Linked DNA regions of Macaca mulatta. Each later gene encodes a partner of the first gene's protein in a complex. Links are inferred from orthologs where the notes say so. Each region holds a gene or a part of one and is shown in the gene's direction. Other genes may lie near its edges.

What was found. The genes of interacting proteins can lie anywhere in the genome.
Region 2: the proteins of NCAPH2 (region 1) and NCAPD3 are in contact, whole or in part, in a cryo-EM structure (PDB 9F5W), measured with the Homo sapiens proteins. The link is inferred for Macaca mulatta from reciprocal best matches to the Homo sapiens genes NCAPH2 and NCAPD3. Residues at the interface, in NP_689512.2 of Homo sapiens: Trp22, Ser68, Lys69, Glu72, Tyr75, Tyr79, Leu82, Asp83, Ser86, Ile144, Ile145, Pro146, Leu147, Leu148, Met150, Ala151, Leu152, Val153, Asp156, Glu159, Asn161, Asn162, Asn163, Pro164, Leu165, Tyr166, Ser167, Arg168, Gly170, Leu173; in NP_056076.1 of Homo sapiens: Arg589, Pro591, Met629, Glu680, Arg683, Tyr684, His690, Lys724, Glu793, Asp800, Gln803, Arg804, Arg807, Gln817, Leu820, Gln865, Leu866, Cys867, Pro868, Ala869, Arg870, Val871, Val918, Ile925, Lys929, Leu932, Gln933, His934, Ala956, Asn960.
Region 3: the proteins of NCAPH2 (region 1) and NCAPG2 are in contact, whole or in part, in a cryo-EM structure (PDB 9F5W), measured with the Homo sapiens proteins. The link is inferred for Macaca mulatta from reciprocal best matches to the Homo sapiens genes NCAPH2 and NCAPG2. Residues at the interface, in NP_689512.2 of Homo sapiens: Pro316, Trp317, Gln318, Ser319, Leu320, Pro322, Phe323, Asp324, Ser325, Leu326, Glu327, Ser328, Lys329, Pro330, Phe331, Lys332, Lys333, Gly334, Arg335, Pro336, Tyr337, Ser338, Val339, Glu344, Gln360, Asp361, Phe362, Gln364, Trp365, Tyr366; in NP_001268861.1 of Homo sapiens: Lys248, Leu251, Gln252, His292, Ile294, His295, Leu296, Pro297, Arg299, Ser300, Val302, Lys340, Ala341, Arg342, Asn343, Ser344, Glu345, Val346, Pro388, Tyr389, Pro390, Arg393, Gly425, Glu426, Ala428, Phe429, Asp430, Thr431, Ser432, Arg437.
Region 4: the proteins of NCAPH2 (region 1) and SMC2 are in contact, whole or in part, in a cryo-EM structure (PDB 9F5W), measured with the Homo sapiens proteins. The link is inferred for Macaca mulatta from reciprocal best matches to the Homo sapiens genes NCAPH2 and SMC2. Residues at the interface, in NP_689512.2 of Homo sapiens: Glu46, Phe53, Ile54, Glu55, Leu58, Leu59, Gly62, Ser63, Ala64, Cys65, Val66, Lys69, Tyr73; in NP_001036015.1 of Homo sapiens: Leu93, Thr125, Gln128, Asp129, Cys132, Gly135, Leu136, Asn137, Met173, Tyr174, Lys177, Lys178.

What each region holds. Positions count from the first base shown.
Region 1 is NC_133415.1:935,765-939,964, reverse strand, and holds part of NCAPH2 (condensin-2 complex subunit H2), read left to right. Parts: coding exon 1-26; intron 27-397; coding exon 398-481; intron 482-937; coding exon 938-1,068; intron 1,069-2,628; coding exon 2,629-2,700; intron 2,701-3,303; coding exon 3,304-3,370; intron 3,371-3,501; coding exon 3,502-3,609; intron 3,610-3,746; coding exon 3,747-3,800; intron 3,801-3,940; coding exon 3,941-4,011; intron 4,012-4,102; coding exon 4,103-4,196; intron 4,197-4,200. UniProt on the Homo sapiens protein: Regulatory subunit of the condensin-2 complex, a complex that seems to provide chromosomes with an additional level of organization and rigidity and in establishing mitotic chromosome architecture.
Region 2 is NC_133419.1:134,384,618-134,388,223, reverse strand, and holds the end of NCAPD3 (condensin-2 complex subunit D3), read left to right. Parts: intron 1-1,748; coding exon 1,749-1,823; intron 1,824-1,911; coding exon 1,912-1,972; intron 1,973-2,059; coding exon 2,060-2,168; 3' UTR 2,169-2,680; downstream 2,681-3,606.
Region 3 is NC_133408.1:198,132,500-198,137,579, reverse strand, and holds the start of NCAPG2 (condensin-2 complex subunit G2), read left to right. Parts: upstream 1-1,854; 5' UTR 1,855-1,874; intron 1,875-4,594; exon of another isoform or gene 4,595-4,694; intron 4,695-5,003; 5' UTR 5,004-5,042; coding exon 5,043-5,080. UniProt on the Homo sapiens protein: Regulatory subunit of the condensin-2 complex, a complex which establishes mitotic chromosome architecture and is involved in physical rigidity of the chromatid axis.
Region 4 is NC_133420.1:54,311,136-54,316,142, reverse strand, and holds the start of SMC2 (structural maintenance of chromosomes protein 2), read left to right. Parts: upstream 1-1,781; 5' UTR 1,782-2,219; exon of another isoform or gene 2,220-2,228; intron 2,229-3,026; 5' UTR 3,027-3,087; coding exon 3,088-3,255; intron 3,256-3,851; coding exon 3,852-4,001; intron 4,002-5,007. UniProt on the Homo sapiens protein: Central component of the condensin complex, a complex required for conversion of interphase chromatin into mitotic-like condense chromosomes.

The sequences.
Region 1 (4,200 bases):
CGCTTCCATGCCAAGGACCCAGAAGGGTGAGGGCTTGGATGCGGGGGCTTGGTGGGAAGGAAGGGAGGGAGGGTCTTCTGGGTGGACTCTTGTGGGGTGCCCTGTGCTTGCCACCTCTGGTCTTGGGAGCTCCCTCTCTCTGGGTGCCCGCTCCAGTCTAGACAGGTTGGCTGGTGCTCATCCCACCCGTCTGCTGTGCCTTGATTACAAGTTAACATGGTCTCAGTGCCAGGGACCTGGTGCCTGGCTCAGGGCCCTGCTGTGTTCCCCCAGCCCAAGGCCTGGAGTCTGCTGGACTCTGCCCTTCTGCTGGCCCCTTGGAGGGGCTAGTTGAACACCAGGCAGGGACCATCTTGGAGAGGGGCTGGGCTGACCTTGTCCAATCCCTGTCTCCCAGATGCCGGGAGAACTGAGGAGCAGCCAATGGAAGTTTCCGTGTGCAGGAGCCCTGTCCCAGCACTTGGCTTCTCCCAGGACCCAGGTGAGAAGAAAGCTCCCTGGTGGGACTGGCATGGCAGCCAAAGGGGACCAGAGAGGCAGCTCTCAGTGGACAGGGGTCCAAGGCGCTGCCGTCAGCTGCCAGCCTCACACCCTTTCCATGGCCCACGGGAATGAGGCCTCACCCCGGGGAAGCAGCCACAGCCCCTGGCCTTACCTAAGCCTCAGCCCGTCTTGGTTCACTGACTGCCCTCTGCCTTCCTGGGTGTCCTCTCTGGGCAGATGTGGATGGCTGCATTTAAAGAGGAACATTTGCCAAGAAATAAAATGAACCAAACAGAGCACAGCACGCTAGCATGACGAGGAGGGTGCAAGGCACCTGCTGAATCCTCTGGGTTCCGTGACTAAAGCTGAGGGAGGAAGTAGCCGTCAGGGTCCCTCTGGTGCCGTCTGGTCTCGACATTCCTTGGAGCTGATCACTCTCTTGCTCCCTGTCCAGGCCCCTCTCCAGAAGGCCCGGCGCCCCTGGGCGGGGGTGAGGACGAGGATGCAGAGGAGGCAGTAGACCTTCCTGAGGCCTCGGCCCCCAAGGCCACTCTGGAGCCCGAGGAGCCCAGGAGCCCGCAGCAGGTGGGACCCACATGGAGGCCTGCAGAGCCTGAGCTGTGAACGGGGCAACCCTGGCTCTGGGGTTGAGTCAGCCTGCACGAGGAGGGCAGCGCTATGGCCTTGGCCCCGGGCCATTGGTCTGGGGCAGAAGCCCACCGTCCTGCAGCCCGTCCTGCAGCCAGCCCTTTGGAACGGCAGCTTCCGTGTTCCTCCCCTCTCTGGACAGAACTGATGATCTTCAGAGTAGTGGGCTGGCGTCCAAGGGTTTGGGCCCTGCCGAGCTCACAGCTACCTGGGATGGCTGCTGGTCGCCGAGGCGCCTCTTTTGCAGTTGGGCTGGTAGGAGGGGGTGTCTGGAGGCCATTGCTGCCTCCCTCAACCCCCAGGGTCAACTGTACGCAGTCTAGAGCCAAGAAATCCTTTTTATTTATTAAAGCAGAAAATCAACCCGATGCATACAGAGGAAATGTTAATGTTTCTTCACTCTGGTTGGTCGATGACATGGATATTTGTCATATTCTATTCGTTTTTCTTAGTTTTGAAGAAGAGTACCCCGTGACCACTGTTTTTTTTGTTTTGTTTTGTTTTGTTTTTTGCGAGACAGAGTCTCGCTCTGTCGCCCAGGCTGGAGTTCTGTGGTGCGATCTTGGCTCACTACAAGCTCCGCCTCCTGGGTTCACGCCATTCCTGCCTCCCGAGTAGCTGGGTCTACAGTCGCCTGCCACCATGCCCGACATCCACCCGCCTTGGCCTCCCAAAGTGCTGGGATTACAGGCATGAGCCACGGCGTCCGGCCCACTGTTTGTGTTTTAAAGTTTTTCTTCGGGTTTTTGTTTTAATGCCCCCAGAGAGTACTAGCAGGGTTTTTTTGTTTGTTTGTTTGTTTTTGAGACAGGGTCTTGCTCTGTTGCCCAGGGTAGAGTGCAGTGGCCTGATCTTGGCTCACTACAGCCTTGACCCTCTCTAGGCTCAGGTGATCCTTCCACCTCAGCCTCCCGAGTAGCTGGGACTATAGATGCGTGCCACCACACCTGGCTAATTTTCGTATTTTTTGTAGAGACGGGGTCTCACTACGTTGCCCAGGCTGGTCTGGAACTCCTTGCTCAAACGATCTGCCTGCCTTGGCCTCCCAAAGCACTGGGATTATGGGCGTGAGCCACTGTGTCTGGCCCCTGTAGGATTTTTCTTTTTTTTTAGACAGAGTCTTGTTCTTTTGCCCAGGCTGGAGTGCAGTGGCGTGATCTTGGCTCGCTGCAACCTCTGCCTCCTGGGTTCAAGCGATTCTCCTGCCTCAGCCTCCTGAGTAGGTGGGATTACAGGTGTGTGCCACCACGCCCGGCTAATTTTTTTTGTATTTTTAGTAGAGGCGGGGTTTCACCGTGTTGACCAGGCTGGTCTCAAACTCTTGACCTCAGGTGATCTGCCCACCTTGGCCTCCCAAAGCGCTTCGATTACAGGCATGAGCCACCGTGCCCGGCCCTTGTAGAGTTCTTGATGTTGACCCAAGGTGGAGTTCCTGGGGTACCCAGAGCCTTGAGTGGAGAAAGGGGAGAAGTGGAGACCCTGTGACTGTCTTTGCAGAGTGCTGCCCTGCCCAGGAGGTACATGCTGCGGGAGCGAGAGGGGGCCCCAGAGCCTGCATCCTGCATGAAGGTAGGAGCGTTGGGGCCCTGACCCTGGCAGGGAGGACGGGCGGATTCGAGGACTGGCTGCCTGCCCATCATGCTCTCGCTCCTGCGGTGTTCTCAGCCTGTGGCCCTTTGCACTTGCTCTCTTAGAGACCCCCTCATGCGACTCTGGGCCCCCACCGTCCCTCGATTGTTCCCCTCTGTGATCCAGGATTTGAGTGTGGTCGGCTCTGTCCCAGGCTCTCACCGCACTTGTTGCCTGGGCTTTGGGAGGGCGGCTGTGCACCCCCTACTCCTCCTTTGGGAGGGCGGCTGTGCACCCCCTACTCCTTTGGGAGGGCGGCTGTGCACCCCCTACTCCTCCTTTGGGAGGGCGGCTGTGCACCCCCTACTCCTCCTTTGGGAGGGCGGCTGTGCACCCCCTACTCCTCCTTTGGGAGGGCGGCTGTGCACCCCCTACTCCTCCTTTGGGAGGGCGGCTGTGCACCCCCTACTCCTCCTTTGGGAGGGCGGCTGTGCACCCCCTACTCCTCCTTTGGGAGGGCGGCTGTGCACCCCCTACTTCTCCTTTGGGAGGGCGGCTGTGCACCCCCTACTCCTCCAGCGCCTTCTTGTGCTCTGTGCCCAGGAGACTCCAGAGCCCTGGCAGAGCCTGGACCCCTTTGACTCCCTGGAGTCTAAGCCCTTCAAGAAAGGTAATTGGGTGGAAGATACCTCCACTCAGGTACTCCTGGCTGGGTCTCCTGGGGCATGAGGTAGGGGGGTGGGAGAGGGCTTTGCACCCTGATTGCCCAGCAGCTCTAAGACAGTCCCTGTTTGCCTCTAGGTAGGCCTTACTCTGTGCCCCCCTGTGTGGAGGAGGCTCCGGGACAGAAGCGCAAGAGGAAGAGTGCTGCCAAGCTGCAGGACTTCCACCAGTGGTACCTGGCTGCCTGTGAGTGGGTGTGCCATGCACTCCGGACCCCTGGGAGCTGGGGGCTGGGCCAGGGCCCGTGGAGGAGGATCAACACCCTTTCCCCACTGCCGTGGGCAGCTCTTGGCCTGGTTGGTGCTGACCATGTTCTCTCTCAGATGCTGACCATGCTGACAGCCGGAGGCCTCGGCGAAAGGGTCCGTCCTTTGCAGGTGAGGCTGAAGTCCTCAGGGAAGACAGTTTTACTCCCCTTCCCCTACGTCTGCCCCCACCTGGTGTCACCAGAGCCTCGGGTGGACTGGCACAGGGCCTGGGAAGGACAAGGGAGTCTTCACAAGGTCTTTGTCTGCAGACATGGAGGTCCTGTACTGGACACACGTGAAGGAGCAGTTGGAAACTCTCCGGAAGCTGCAGAGGAGGGAGGCAAGTCCCAACTGGTCAGCTGTGATCTAGGACCCCGTGGCGGCCCTGATGGGAGATGACAGTGCCCCTCACAGATGCTGTCTCTGGACAGGTGGCCGAGCAGTGGCTGCCGAGGGCCGAGGAGGGGCTGTGGTCTGCAGAGGAGGACCACCTGGAGGATTCTCTGGAAGACCTGGGGGCAGCAGGTGG
Region 2 (3,606 bases), on another chromosome or scaffold:
CAAGTCCCTCTTACTTTATCATTCGGGTGGCACAGACACTGCTGCCTTTGATTCTACGCACAGTGCATGGGGGATGTCAGAGCCCCCACACCCGTGCTTCTGTAAAGATGGGAGACTAATTTCCTGGAGCACACATGGGCTTCCAAACAGGAAGAGCAGCGTGTGTGTGAGGAAGGGAATTTGTGAGGAAGGGAATTTGTGAGGAAGGGAATTTCATGTGAGGGTACAAGGAGAGACAGAAACAGAATAAGCAGATCTAGCAGTGATGAGGATAGAATTCTCTGCCATTGTCTGTCAATGACACTCAAGTAGCCATCAGGTACACTGCAGTGCGCTGATGAGCTTTAAAATGTAAATGGGAAGACGGTCTGTACTGAAGACACCGTGTGGAGAACGGGGAGAGCGCTGAAGCTGCCTCCTCGCGAGTCTTGCAGAAAGGCAGCAGGTTCAGTGGCATCAGCAAGCGGCCGCCCAGCCCGTGCTGTTCCTGGGAGTGTGCTGCTGGCAGCTTATGCACCGAGTACAGCACTACCCGGGCCCCCAAGACCGGGTGGCGTGTGTAGACAGATGGGGCGGAGGGGCAGAGGAGCATGATGTGCAGACAGGGCCTGCTGAGGAAGGGATGCAGGAGGGTGGACGTGTGTGGGCACATGCACCTCAGCATAACAGCTAAGTCTGTAAAGGCAGCTTGGGACCAGCTGAGACTGAGGGTGCACTTCAGGCTCTCCTAGGAACACAGCCATCGAGGTGTCTTAAAGCAGGGCAGTAAATTTACCAGCTTCTTGATTAAACATAACTCCAGTGACGCAGGGAGGATACTGCTGATAAATGACAGTGGCCGCTAACATCTCTTGAGCACGCCCTTGCAGCCAGCGCCATGCTAAGCACTCGGTGTAGATAACCTCATGTAGTCCTGGGCACCATGCTAAGCACTCGGTGTAGACAACCTCCTGTCGTCCTGGGCACCATGCTAAGCACTCGGTGAAGGTAACCTCATGTCGTCCTGGCAGCCCGCCAGTGAGGTAGCTGTTTTTATACCCACGTAAGAGATGCAGAAACCTGAGGGTCTCAGAGCAGCTCACACAGCTGGTAAGACACCGAGCCAGAATTCACACCCAAGTTGCGGTGGAGTCTGCTCGTAAACGGTGTTCACCTGTTCCTGAGGGCAAACTGGAGGGGGGTAGGTGCCATGAAAAATCAAGGGCGAGGGGTGAGGCGGACTGAGCCGCTCCCAGTGCGGCACGACGGGACAGGATGAAGTGGCGACTGGAGGTAGAAGGGACAGGCCTTGGCTGCTGATTCCATATGGAGGAGCCGCTCACGGTGCCACATTTCCAGCTTGCACGGTCCATTCACTGGTGGAAACTAACAGGCACGCGTGGAGGTGCAGAGGCAAGGAGTTAATTGTCCTCGGGGAATCTGGGTGAGCCACCGTAGGAAGTGTAGTGAGTGGGACAGCGCGGTCACTGGGACAGGGGTGATCATGGAAGATGGGGTGGGAGGGAAGCCAGAGGCGTGAACAGTGAGGCCCAGGGGCCAGCCGAGTGCCTAAGGAGGGCTGCGGTCAGAGAGACGGAAAGGAGCGTCCCCAGGAGGGGCCCTCATCCCTGCCAGGACCTGGGACAGGGTCCAGTGGAGGTCTGAGGGCCGCCACTGGGACACCGATGTGGACACCGTGCCTACGTCACACACACAACTGGAGCCGCCCCCTCTGCCTTCACTCACAGTGGTGTCTCCCCTTTATGCAGAGAGCATCAATGATGTCACGTTTGGAGCCGGGGTCAGTTACATCGGGACACCACGGACTCCTTCATCAGCCAAAGGCAAGTTCTTGGTTTCCTTCTGGGCTGATATATGCGCTGCCTCTGAGGTTCTGGCAAAACTGAATTTGTTTGTTTAAATCCCTTTTAGAGAAAATTGAAGCCAGGAGTCAAGGAAATGACATCTTATGTTTATCATTGCCTGATAAACCGTAAGTTTAGCAGTGTTCCTTTTGAGGTGGATGTTTTTTTCAGGGTTTTTCTGAGTTCCAGAATGACTGCGTATGTCCTTTCCCTAGGCCCCCACAGCCTCAGCAGTGGAATGTGAGGTCTCCAGCCAGGAATAAAGACACTCCAGCCTGCAGCAGGAGGTCCCTGCGAAAGACCCCTCTGAAAACAGCCAACTAAAGAGCGCATCCCCACCAGTGTCCGGGCAGGCAAGAGCCCCTGAGGAAGCCGTCTCGTGTCCTCCGTGTGGACAGGCAGCTGGATCACTTCCCGCAGTCCTTGGGCAGCGCTTTGCTGTGGAACACGAGAGCTCCTCCTCAGGGGCCTGGCACTCACCTGCATTTAGCCGGCCAGCCCTTTCTATGCTGTATGATATATATGGTTAAACACTGTAAAATAGAGATGTGCCAAATTTAGATTTTCTTACCCTAAGCCTAATCTATTTAATATTATAACTTTATTCCATTTGAAAGTGTCAAGCCCATGCAGATAAGCTATAATCTGGTCTTTAAAAACTTCAGCTTTCTTTTATATAAATCAAGCCTGTGTTAACATGTTTGAATTCCTTATAGTACATATTTTCCCATCTGTAATGACAAAATATTGATTGTAATATTTTTTCTATTATTTATAATTGCAAATTTTTAAAATATACAGCTTTCTAAAAGTAATAAATGTTTAGGATAAATACAGCCTTCCAGTAAATAGAATGTTTCTGTTTTTAGAACAGAGCTCTTACTGGTAATCATTTTAATTTTACGTAAAGCATGTTAGAGGAATGAAACCAAATCTTTCCTATTAGAAAAAAAATGATTGTCTTGAGGGGCAGTTGATCTGTGCCCATGCAGAGGCCATGTGCTTTCTATAACAGACATAAACAGCATCGCTGCTTGTGAAAAAATAGCTTTGCGGCCTTCCCCAGAGCAGCACTGATGCCGATTTGTGCAGCCCTCTGCTAAGGGCTGCTCCCGTGATGGGGGAACGGCTTGAGTCTCTTCTGTTCACTCTGTTGGGTAAACTTAACGATATTTTTGTTCAAGAATATCCAAAAAGAAATGCAGTTGGCTTGTTTTTTAATCCCAGTATTACAAAAGCAAAAGTACAAAGTGATTATGTGCGTTGGTTGGTTTGGGGGATGGATGGGATGCCACTGAGCTCTGCCCCTGCTATCCTAAGTGGGGACTGCAACGCAGGTGGACTCGGTGGTGGAGAGGCGCAGCACTGCTCTGGAGCACACAGGCTGACATTCTGCCCAGGCACCGACCGACTCCCCTGGTGGATGGGTGACAGCATTTTTAGTGCGCGCGCCTAACCACTGAAATGCCAGGAAGAAGAGACAAACACAAGAGCAAACAAGAAAGAATGAAGCAATGTTTGGGTTTTTTTTGAAGCTTTTATAAATGAGGTTAAACAAATACCAAATTACAGGTGTGTTAGTACAAGTCTGTAATATCTATGTACAGCAACATCCATCCAAAGGCAGAATCACAGCCTCGTATCAGCCTCGAGTCTTGAGTCACATTCGTATCTTAAAATACACAAGTGTTCCTTTTCTGTCTAGTCTGTTATAGGCAACTACTTCCCAGACTCCACTTTCACTTCTCTCTACTTTGTCCGA
Region 3 (5,080 bases), on another chromosome or scaffold:
GGCTGAGCTCTGCACTACACAGACATTTAGGCCTCATAATAACTCCCTAGAGGAGGCTCAGTACTTAAGTAGGTCCCATCTAATAGATGAGAAAACTAAGGCTTAGTCGTCCATGGCCTGTCGAAGGTCACCAGCTAGTGAGCACAGAACCAGGTTAGCCCAGGTGGTACAGCTTCAGAGCTCACATGTGTAACTTATTACGTTATTCCTATTCAGGAAGCAGAACCACCAGGAACAAATGGCTGATTGGAGGAGGGACCAGCATAAGGAAAGGGGCAGGATTCAGGGTTGGGAGAGGAAATTGATTTCCGTTTTGGATGCATGTCAGCACCCGCATGGGAATAGGCAGTGAGCTGTTGAAAATTCTGGAGTTCAGAAATAACCGTGTCTTGCAATTCCAGATGCAGAGGTCACTGCTCAAAGGTGGCAGTTTGCACCTTGGATATGAAGGAAATTGCTAAGAAGAAAGCAGTGAGAAGAAGGTGAGGGCACCAAAATTCAAGAAACTGCAGGGAAGGAGATGTCTGTGTATGGAGGGAAGAGGTCAGAGGTGGCTGGAGCTCCAGGATGAAATAGGCGATGTTAGATATCGGCCACCTGTTGACAAGGGTCCGAAACTCGGCATGCTCTGAGTGGGTCTTCTCCCTCCCCTCTGCAGCCTGCCTTGCTTCACTGTTGCAAGCTTCCCAGTAAACCACTCTTCTCCCTGCTATAATTTTATATTGCTTGTTGAAACGATATTCCAACAAGTAATATAAATATTTTTGATACACTAGCCTAAATAAAACATATTTAAAAATCAATGTCACCTATTTATTTTTTTCTAATGTGGTCACTAGAAATTTACAATTGCACTGTGGCTCCCATGATGTTCCTACTGGGTGGTGCTGTGCTCCCACAGTGCAACGACTTCAATCTCGCCGAGACCTCTGGTTTGAGTTCAGCCAGGAAAACAGATACCACTCTAGACATCTCAAGCATGAAAGAACATAGCACCATGGAAGGCCAAATCCTCACGAAGGGATGCAGAGCTCGGTGGTAAAGAGCACCATTTTCTAAGAATTTGCTTTCAACAAAAATTGGGAACGCCCAATGAAGTTATTCGCTGACACAAATTAAAAGAGATTGATAGATCAGTATGTGCCTTTGGCATTTAAGTCCGAAGAATTAAATGACATTGCTACTCCTCCTTCACACGGGTGCCTTCGAGGGTCCCCGCTAAGGCCTCTCGCTCTCCACCCTATGGGCAGCCTACCTGCCGGGGGTGGGGGGGTGGGAGTTCTGCGGGGGAAGCACCTGCCCAGGGCGCACCTACTGGGTGCAGGCCGGACAGGTGACCCCTTGGCAGGGAGGGCGGTCACGGTAGCCGGCCAGGCCGGGGTGGGGTCCTCCCGGGGATCCAGACACGGCCCTGTGGCCTCTCCCCGCCCCAAACCTTTCCTTCCTCTCCCCGTCTCTCCCTTCCTCTCCTTCCTCCTTCCCCCAACACCGCCCGCTCCCAGCGCCCCGCCCTCTCCTGGACCGCGCACTCCCTCCGCGGAGGCCCCAGGACGCGCACAAGCTCGCAGTGGACGTCGGCGCGCGCACCGTGCATGGGTTCCCCAGCTGTGGCGCCGCGCGTGCGCGTTCCGTGGTGCCCGGTAGGGCACTGGGAGGCGGGGCATAGACAGGAGGAAGACCGGCGGGCATGTGGGCGGGGCATGATCTGGAGGCGGGGCGGAACGGGCGTGTGGGTGGGGCCCGAGGATCGCGGCGCCCCAGCTCTCGCGAGAGCGGCGCTGGGTGACGACCGGGAGGGCGGGGCCCGTCTGGGGCGCCGGCGGGTGCGTTTGAATCTGGTCCGAGCGCGGGAAACGGCGGGTCCCCGAGCCCAGGTGAGAGCTGCGGTGCGGAGCCGGGATTGGGTTCAGAGCAGAGGCTGGGAGGTAGCAGGGATCGGGCGGAAGCCCCTCCTCGGCTGGTCGGGGTCTCGGCCTCCACTTCCCTAAGTGGGCTGCCGACCAGCGCGCGGGCAGTGCTGCGTCTGACGGGACCGGACGGAAGAGGCGACCCCGGGCCATCCCCCCTTCCCAGCTCAGCGACGCCCGTCCTTCCTGTCCGTGTCGGAGGAAAATCCCAGCCCCGGGCGCGGGCACTGCCCTCAGAGAGAGTCCCCTCAGCCCCAGGCGCGGGCACGCCCTCAGAGAACGAACCCCCAGCCCTGAGCATGGGCACTGCCCTCAGAGAGTGTCCCCTCCGTCCTGGGCATGGGCACTGCCCTCAGAGAGGGTCCCCTCAGCCCCGGGTGCGGGCACTGTCCTCAGAGAGCGACCCCCCAGCCCTGAGCATGGGCACTGCCCTCAGAGAGTGTCCCCTCCGTCCTGGGCATGGACACTACCCTCAGAGAGAGTCCCCTCAGTCCTGGGTGTCGGTACTGCCCTCAGAGAGAGTCCCCTCAGCCCCGGGCGCGGGCACGCTCTCAGAGAGTGACCCCTCAGTCCTGGGTGTCGGTACTGCCCTCAGAGAGAGTCCCCTCAGCCCCGGGCGCGGGCACGCTCTCAGAGAGTGACCCGCCAGCCCTGAGCATGGGCACTGCCCTCAGAGAGCGACCCCCCAGCCCTGAGCATCGGCACTGCCCTCAAGAGAGTGTCCCCTCAGTCCTGGGCCTAGGCACTGCCCTCAGAGAGTGACTCCCTCAGTCCTGGGCATGGGCACTGCCCTCAGAGAGTGAGCCTCTCCGTCCTGGGCGTGGACACTGCCCTCAGAGTGTCCCTTCATTCCTGGGCCTGGGCGCTGCCCTCAGAGAGTAAATCCCCTCAGTCCTGGGCCTGGGCACTGCCCTCAGAGAGCCACCCCCTCCGTCCTGGGCATGGACACTGCCCTCAGTGTCCCCTCAGTCCTGGGCCTGGGCACTGCCCTCAGAGAGTAAATCCCCTCAGTCCTGGGCCTGGGCACTGCCCTCAGAGAGCCACCCCCTCAGTCCTGGGCATGGGCAGTGCCCTCAGCGACCCCCTCAGTCCTGGGCATGGGCACTGCCCTCAGACAGTGTCCCCTTAGAGAGAGTCTCCCTGAGCCCTGGATGTAGGCACTTCCCTCAGAGAGTATCTCCCCAGCCATGGACATGGGCATTGTCCTCAGAGACATCAGTCTCCTGAACTCTTGTTGCTGGTTTGGTGCCTCTTGTTGTGTCAATGAGGAAGGAGTTTGGGGACAGAGTGGAAAGTCACGGGTAGTGACAAGGTTACAGGGATTTCTTCTTTTTAATGCTCATCTTGATTCAGTACCGGACCTTCTGTGCGAAGAGTAGCCTGCTCTTTGGACTGATAACTGGGTGGTGAGATGACTCCTTACCTTGAAAGTAGCATTCTGGCTGCAGGGCTGAGATCTTACGCACATATACTACAAGAAACATGGAATATTGCCACTTTGGGAGATAGATTGAAAAATTAACCATTAAAAAATTACAGTCACTAATATAAGAGGGAAAATGGGAAATACAGGAATAAGTTTGGTAGTCTGGAGGAAGTATATTACTGTAGGTTGGACTACAATGCCAAAGAGGTACACTTGGAAATAGAGCAAACAAGAAAAGTGACCAGAACTATGAAAAAGTGGAGAGTTCACAGACTTGCCAGGTGAAGATGTATGATTCCATGTGTTTGCTGCACCTTATTGGATTATTTTTCTAAAATCATGAATTTGTCCTAGCCACTATTCGTTATGCTTGTTGCTGGCCACTCTCCCTTCCCTCCCCATTTTCTTTGTCAGTAAAATGTATGCGAGTCATGCTTCATTTAAAGAGGGAGAAACGTTGTCGTTAGGCAAGTTCATCATTGAATGAACATCACAGAGTGAACTTGCCTACACCTAGAGGGTGTAGCCTACTGCTGCTAGAATGTTACTGTACTGTAGGCAACTGTAACAATGGTAAGTATTTGCATCGCTAAACATATCTAAGTATAGAAAAGGCACAGTAAAAATATGGCATTATAATCTTATGGGACCACGGTCATATATGTGGTCTGTTGTTGACTGAAATGTTATGTGGTCCATGACTGTGGTTCATAGTTCAGCCATTTGAGTTGAGGAATGAGATGACCAGACTTCACTGTTAACTTATTTGGGGAGTCATTAAACTGAGGTTATTTTCTGCTTTGTTCGATTTAGACATTAAAATCTAGTATTATATGTTTAAGATAACTCTCTATCCCCATAATTATTGGCAGTAATTTTCCATATTGCTCTATTTATAATGGTGCAGGTGGTTTTCATTTATTTTTAAAGTCAGGGGGCTCCTACTGCAAATATGTTCCATCATTTGCTATTACCTCATCTTTAGGTTGATGTCTTTTTAGTAGGGCACCAATAGCACCAGGTGTTGTGAATGTGAAATAGAATTTCCTGGAAAAACACAGACAGGATAGAAGGTGTACAAAGTCCCCTGAGCTCTCATTATCCCGAAGGGGTGGGAGGAGAGTGCTGTGGTTACGCATTTCTAAAGGATAGTCTAACAAGATCCCAGGTGACCCCCGCCCCCCTCCCCGGGGCCACTGTTCTCCATCTCACATTGAATAACAAGATGACACTAACAGTGGGATTTTTTTTTTTGATGGAGGAATGGCCTTTAGAAAGGGAGCATCTTCAGAATCTGCAGCTGGGATCAGATTGTTCTTTTGTTGAACCAACTCGATCTGCCGAGCCAGCATCTTGCTAAGGTACTAAAAAGGGAGAGATGGTGGTGAGCTTCCTAAGGCTATTTGGATTTCTCCCTCCTTAGTTGGTAATTTTATTAACAGTTGTTGATAAAATATCATTAATATCATGTTATTAACATCCCCAGTAAAGGAAATAAGTAAATTGTTTTTCAGATATTATAACTTGTTTTATGTTAGAATATTTTTATAAACTGTCTGCCATATGTGGTTCAGGAATTTTCTTGCAGTTCTTGGATGTTAATATCAAATTAAATCTTATAGGAAAATATATATTTGCAAGTGTTTCAGTATGATTGTGTTTTCCACTAGGGTTGCAAAATAAATGCCATTTGAACAGTTCCATCTGTCATGGAAAAACGTGAGACATTTGTACAAGCCGTATCTAA
Region 4 (5,007 bases), on another chromosome or scaffold:
TTAGATCTGCACATTCTTCTAACCACCCAGAAGTCCTTAACCAACAACAGTGCATTTGTATGTTTTCATCCATTTGACGTAAGTGCATCAGCTAGTTGTTAAAGTGCAAAGACTAACAGTCTGTCTTCACACATATTTCCATACCAAGAATCACTTTATTTCACAACTTGACTACGTCCACATTAGGATTTGTTGGCAAATTAAAAATTATTTACTCACAAAATGATAAAAGGAAGGAGACACAGGTGAAAGTAAATGTGTAAGAGTTAACAGAATCAATACAATTGAATAGCTGTGGAGCCTAGGGGATGCAGGATTCAAGGCAGACAAAGATATCTGCTGAAGTAAATTAATGTTAGGTCACTACCCATGGTTGACATCACAGAAGTGGGTAAGCATATCAGAGTAAATAAATGAATCCTTTCTTAAACAAAAAACCCATAAAACTTATTTTACTCCCTTAACGAGAAATATTTTCAAAATTTAGGCCCATTCCTGGTAGATTAAGACCAGTTCAGACGACTGCATTGCCATTCCAGGGCCAAGAAAGCAACTTTAAAAACACGCCCTATGCTATGGTCTAAATATGTCCCTCAAACTTCACATTTTGAAATTCTAACCCCCAAACTGATGGTTTTGGCAAGTGGCCTCTTGGGAAGTGAGGAATGGGAAGAAAGGAAAGGCCCTTATAAGATAGGCCCAAGGGAGGGCCTCTGCCTCTCCACCATGTGAGGACAGGGTCAGAAGGTGCTATCCACTGAACAGAAAGCACTCCTTCCTAGACACACCTTGTTCTGTGACATTCCAGCCTTCAGAAATGTGAAGAATAAACCTCTGTGGTTCATAAGCTACCCAGTCTATGGTATTTTGTTATGGAAGCCCAAAAGGATCAAGCCATCCCAAAATGGCATTGTCCACACCATGTTTTTGTACCTCACCTAGAAAAACACCATACCCATTCGGAGTTAAATCCTTCCTAACTCTTTAGTATCAACGTGCTTGGAAACGTAAGTAATGCTGACACCTTTTTTCTTTCTAAAGAACAATACATACCAATTAACAGGATCGGTGAATAGTACTAGATTCTATGCAGGGAGCCTAGTATGTATTTAAAAGCATGCAATCTGGAACTAGACTGGAAACAAATCCCAGCTTACTAGACAAACTGCTTAACCTTTTACTTGGACTCATTCAACTCATTTGTAAAACGAGGGCAATTTCTGATTTCACAGGGTTGCTACGAGGATTTTAAAAAGCCCCTTGGAACATAGCCTAACACTCAGAACTCAATAAATATGAACTGTCTTAAAAGGTTTCCAGAAAAATTCCCTGACAGGTTAGGTAGGCTTATCATTACAACGCTTTCCAGTGTAAGGGAGGTGAACAGCTATTTAGCACCACACAACTCCTCTGGGCTCAGAACAGCTCTCAGTAGACTACGATCCCTTCCCGACGTGAAAATTTCAGATAAAAAGGCTCGGCGAAGTCCGAAGGCAGCACGGGACCGAGCCAGGACGCGGGCCAGAGTCCTCCGAAGGACTGTGCCTCTCCGGCCCCACCGAAATACAGCTTTTACTTTGCAGCAATCTGAGCCAACCCAAGAAGATTCTGAGGCTTCCAAAACAGAACCGACAAGAACACTCAAAGAATGCCTCTACACCTCCTGATTCTGTCGCTTTGCGTGAAGAGTAGTAAGCCGCGGTGAGCACCGCCCAGAACTCGAGAAGGCGGAGTCTGCAGGGCGCCGAACGCTGACTAGAGGACCCGAGGAGGGGCGGGGCTGACGAAGCGCGAGGACCTGGGGACGAGGTGTGGGGCTGACCATAGCGTGCCGGACGCCGGTGTGAACATATACTACCTGCTCTTGTAGTGCCCAGGCCCGCGCCTGGGAGTCCCCGGAGCTGCCATTATCGAGACTCTGCGTCCTATTGCCCTGAAGCGTTAATCCTTCGCGTGTAGGGGAAAAATGGAATCCTAAAGACAGGCAGCTCCTAGGCACCAGCACAGGAAATAAGCAATGGAGGTGGGGTCCTTTGCTCGCGCCGAAATTCAAAGGAATAAATAGTTCCGGCGCGGGTGTTGAGAGCGGTGCGGCAGGTGTTGTATCCGCTATGGTGAAGTTCTCTTCGTAGCAGCCGCGGCTAGAGAGTTGGCCTGCTCCCCGCCTTTGTGACCCGGAGGAGCTTTTGGGGTGCGTCAAGCCCTGGCCTGAGGCAGCGGTGAGGCGTGTGCGTGAGCACGGCCGGTTGAGCCCGGCTAGACATCCTGGCGGGAGGCGGGACGCGGGGGCTATGGGGAGGAGGACCTTAGGTGATCCTTAGAAATAAAGGCTAGTTCCTATTCGGCCTTGGAGTAGGGCGAAGAGGTGTAGACAGGCCTCAAGAAGCGAAGTAACAGCCTGAGTAAAAGCAAGACGGTGGAGAGTATGAGATACATCTCATCCCTAGTAAATACTTAGATGACTTCCCCTCCTCCCGGAGTCAAGCACAATTCGGGGATGCAATGATGAACGTAGGTGAAGATACTACAGGAACTTACAGACAAGTAATGACCGTCTAATACCAGTTTTAAGTACCATGAAGGAAAAAGCCGAGTGAAGAAGTGTGGAGAGGTGACACAGGGAGGTCAGGGAGGACTCCAGTAGGGTGACACATTTGAGCAAAGACGTGAGTGCAGTAGAGAGTAAGCTACGTCAGTATCAGAAAAAAGCACATTGTGGGCAAAGATAATGGGGTATGAAATAATCCGTAGTCTTTATTAGCTAGAGTATGATGAAAGTAGAAGGCAAGCCTGGAAAAACAGGTGTAAGAAATAGTTAAGACTTCCCAGTTGAATGGTTTAATTTCCAGATAGTGGCTAACTCTGTTATATTTTTGAGTAGATGAACGATGTCTTTACATCAGACAAGATAGTTTGTCAAGTGGCTGTTTTATTTCTATTACCCTATCATTACCGTTTTTGCCTAGTGTTCATTATGATTCCAGGTTTACATTCCACTTAGGTGGTGGTATTTCTGTTTCGTACAGAACTGGTTTGTGGCCTGTTTGATTCCTGTCAGAGGTTTGCTGACCCAAGACAGTATCGAAAATGCATATTAAGTCAATTATTCTAGAGGGATTCAAGTCCTATGCTCAGAGAACCGAAGTCAATGGTTTTGACCCCCTCTTCAATGCTATCACTGGCTTAAATGGTAGTGGAAAATCAAACATATTGGACTCCATCTGCTTTTTGCTGGGCATCTCCAACCTGTCTCAGGTAAAGTGTAAACTTTCTGATTTATTTGAATTTAAGTGGGCAGGAGAATCCTCCCTGAACTTTGGAGACTTAACAATATTCTCTTCATTTGTGTTTTTATACTTTTTGTAAATTACACCTCACTGTCACCTTTTAAGGAAACTATTATTACTCCTTTAGATGAGAAAATAGAAACATAGAGATGTTTATGTTGGAGATGTTTATAAGTAACAATGCCTCAAAACTCAGGCTTTCTGACTGTAAAGTAGTCTCATTCCAGAGTATTTTCAACCCTGTGTAATGATGCCTTTTCAAATCCTGCTAATAGATTGAATGACTAGTGAAAATCATTGGGACTGTCTTTCCTTATATCTTGCCAAGTAACTTTTTGTTAAAAAATGAATAGGAAACAATTCAATTCAGAGTTGAAAAGGTTCTATAGAGAAAAGTGTCCATTTCAGGTTGTTACCTATTTTCCTTGCCAGAGTATGCAGCTGCCTATCCTTGTCTGCTTAGTGGACACTATGTTGGTGGGTTTTCCAACAGCAAGGAATTCATTTTTAGTGCTGCTTTGTAGGGAGTTTTGTAATTGATACACTTTTCTTCTTTTATTTTAGGTTCGAGCTTCTAATTTACAAGATTTAGTTTACAAAAATGGGCAGGCTGGTATTACCAAAGCCTCTGTGTCAATCACATTTGATAATTCTGACAAAAAGCAAAGTCCTTTAGGATTTGAGGTTCATGATGAAATCACAGTAACAAGGCAGGTGAGTGGCTATTAAACATTTCGATATCTTAAGACCTTTTATGTCTGATGTGGTTTTTGGCCCTATGCCTTTGCAAAACGTGCTAGAGAAAGTTGATGAGCAAAATTTGTGCCTTAAATTCTGACTAGATTCCTTAATATCTTCCTTACATTAAAATTTTGATCATGTACACTCTATCACTAAGAGAACTGAAAGAGAACTGAAAAGTTATTCATCCCGTATAAGCACTCAGCTATGCTGAAATCTTAAACCATACTTGAATCTTCTCTGGCTGTTCTTGAACACCTGTGTACTTGAGATCTTGCAGTCGTCTGAGGTAACCCATTCTGTTTTTGGACAGGTCTTACTAGAAAGTTACCCCTATAAATTTTGTCAGAGTCTGCTGTCTTCAAATTTTATTCATTAATCCTAGTGCTCTTGAGAGCACTAAGAGCAAATCTGACTTATTCCCTACTTCAGTGTTCAAGTGATCTGCAAGCATATGTGTTTTAGTTCTAAGTGAAATCTTACCAGGTCTTTCATTGATGTTTGTTCCTAGTTCCTTCACTTGCCTGATTATACCAGGTATGCTCCAGTTTCCCTCCCTGCCCCTGCATTCATCTATCTATCTTTTAATGACACCTTAGATTGAGTGTACTGAAATCGGTCTAGTTAGAGTTATTGTTTCATTTTAGACATTCTACTTCTATTTTTCTCAGTAGAGCTTTTTTTTTATGTGTGTTATTAATATAGTCAGGCAGTGTTTTCAGCTTGTCAATGTTTTTTGTTTTGTTTTGTTTTTTGTTTTTTGTTTTTTTTTGAAGACGGAGTCTTGCTCTGTTACCCAGGCTGGAGTGTAGTGGCACCATCTCAGCTCACTGCAATATTCGTCTCCCAGGTTCAAGAGAGTCTTCTGCCTCAGCCTCCTGAGTAGCTGATACTACAGGCACCTACCACCACACCTGGCTAATTTTTTTTTGTATTTTTAGTAGAGATGGGATTTCACTGTGTTGGCTAGGGTGGTCTC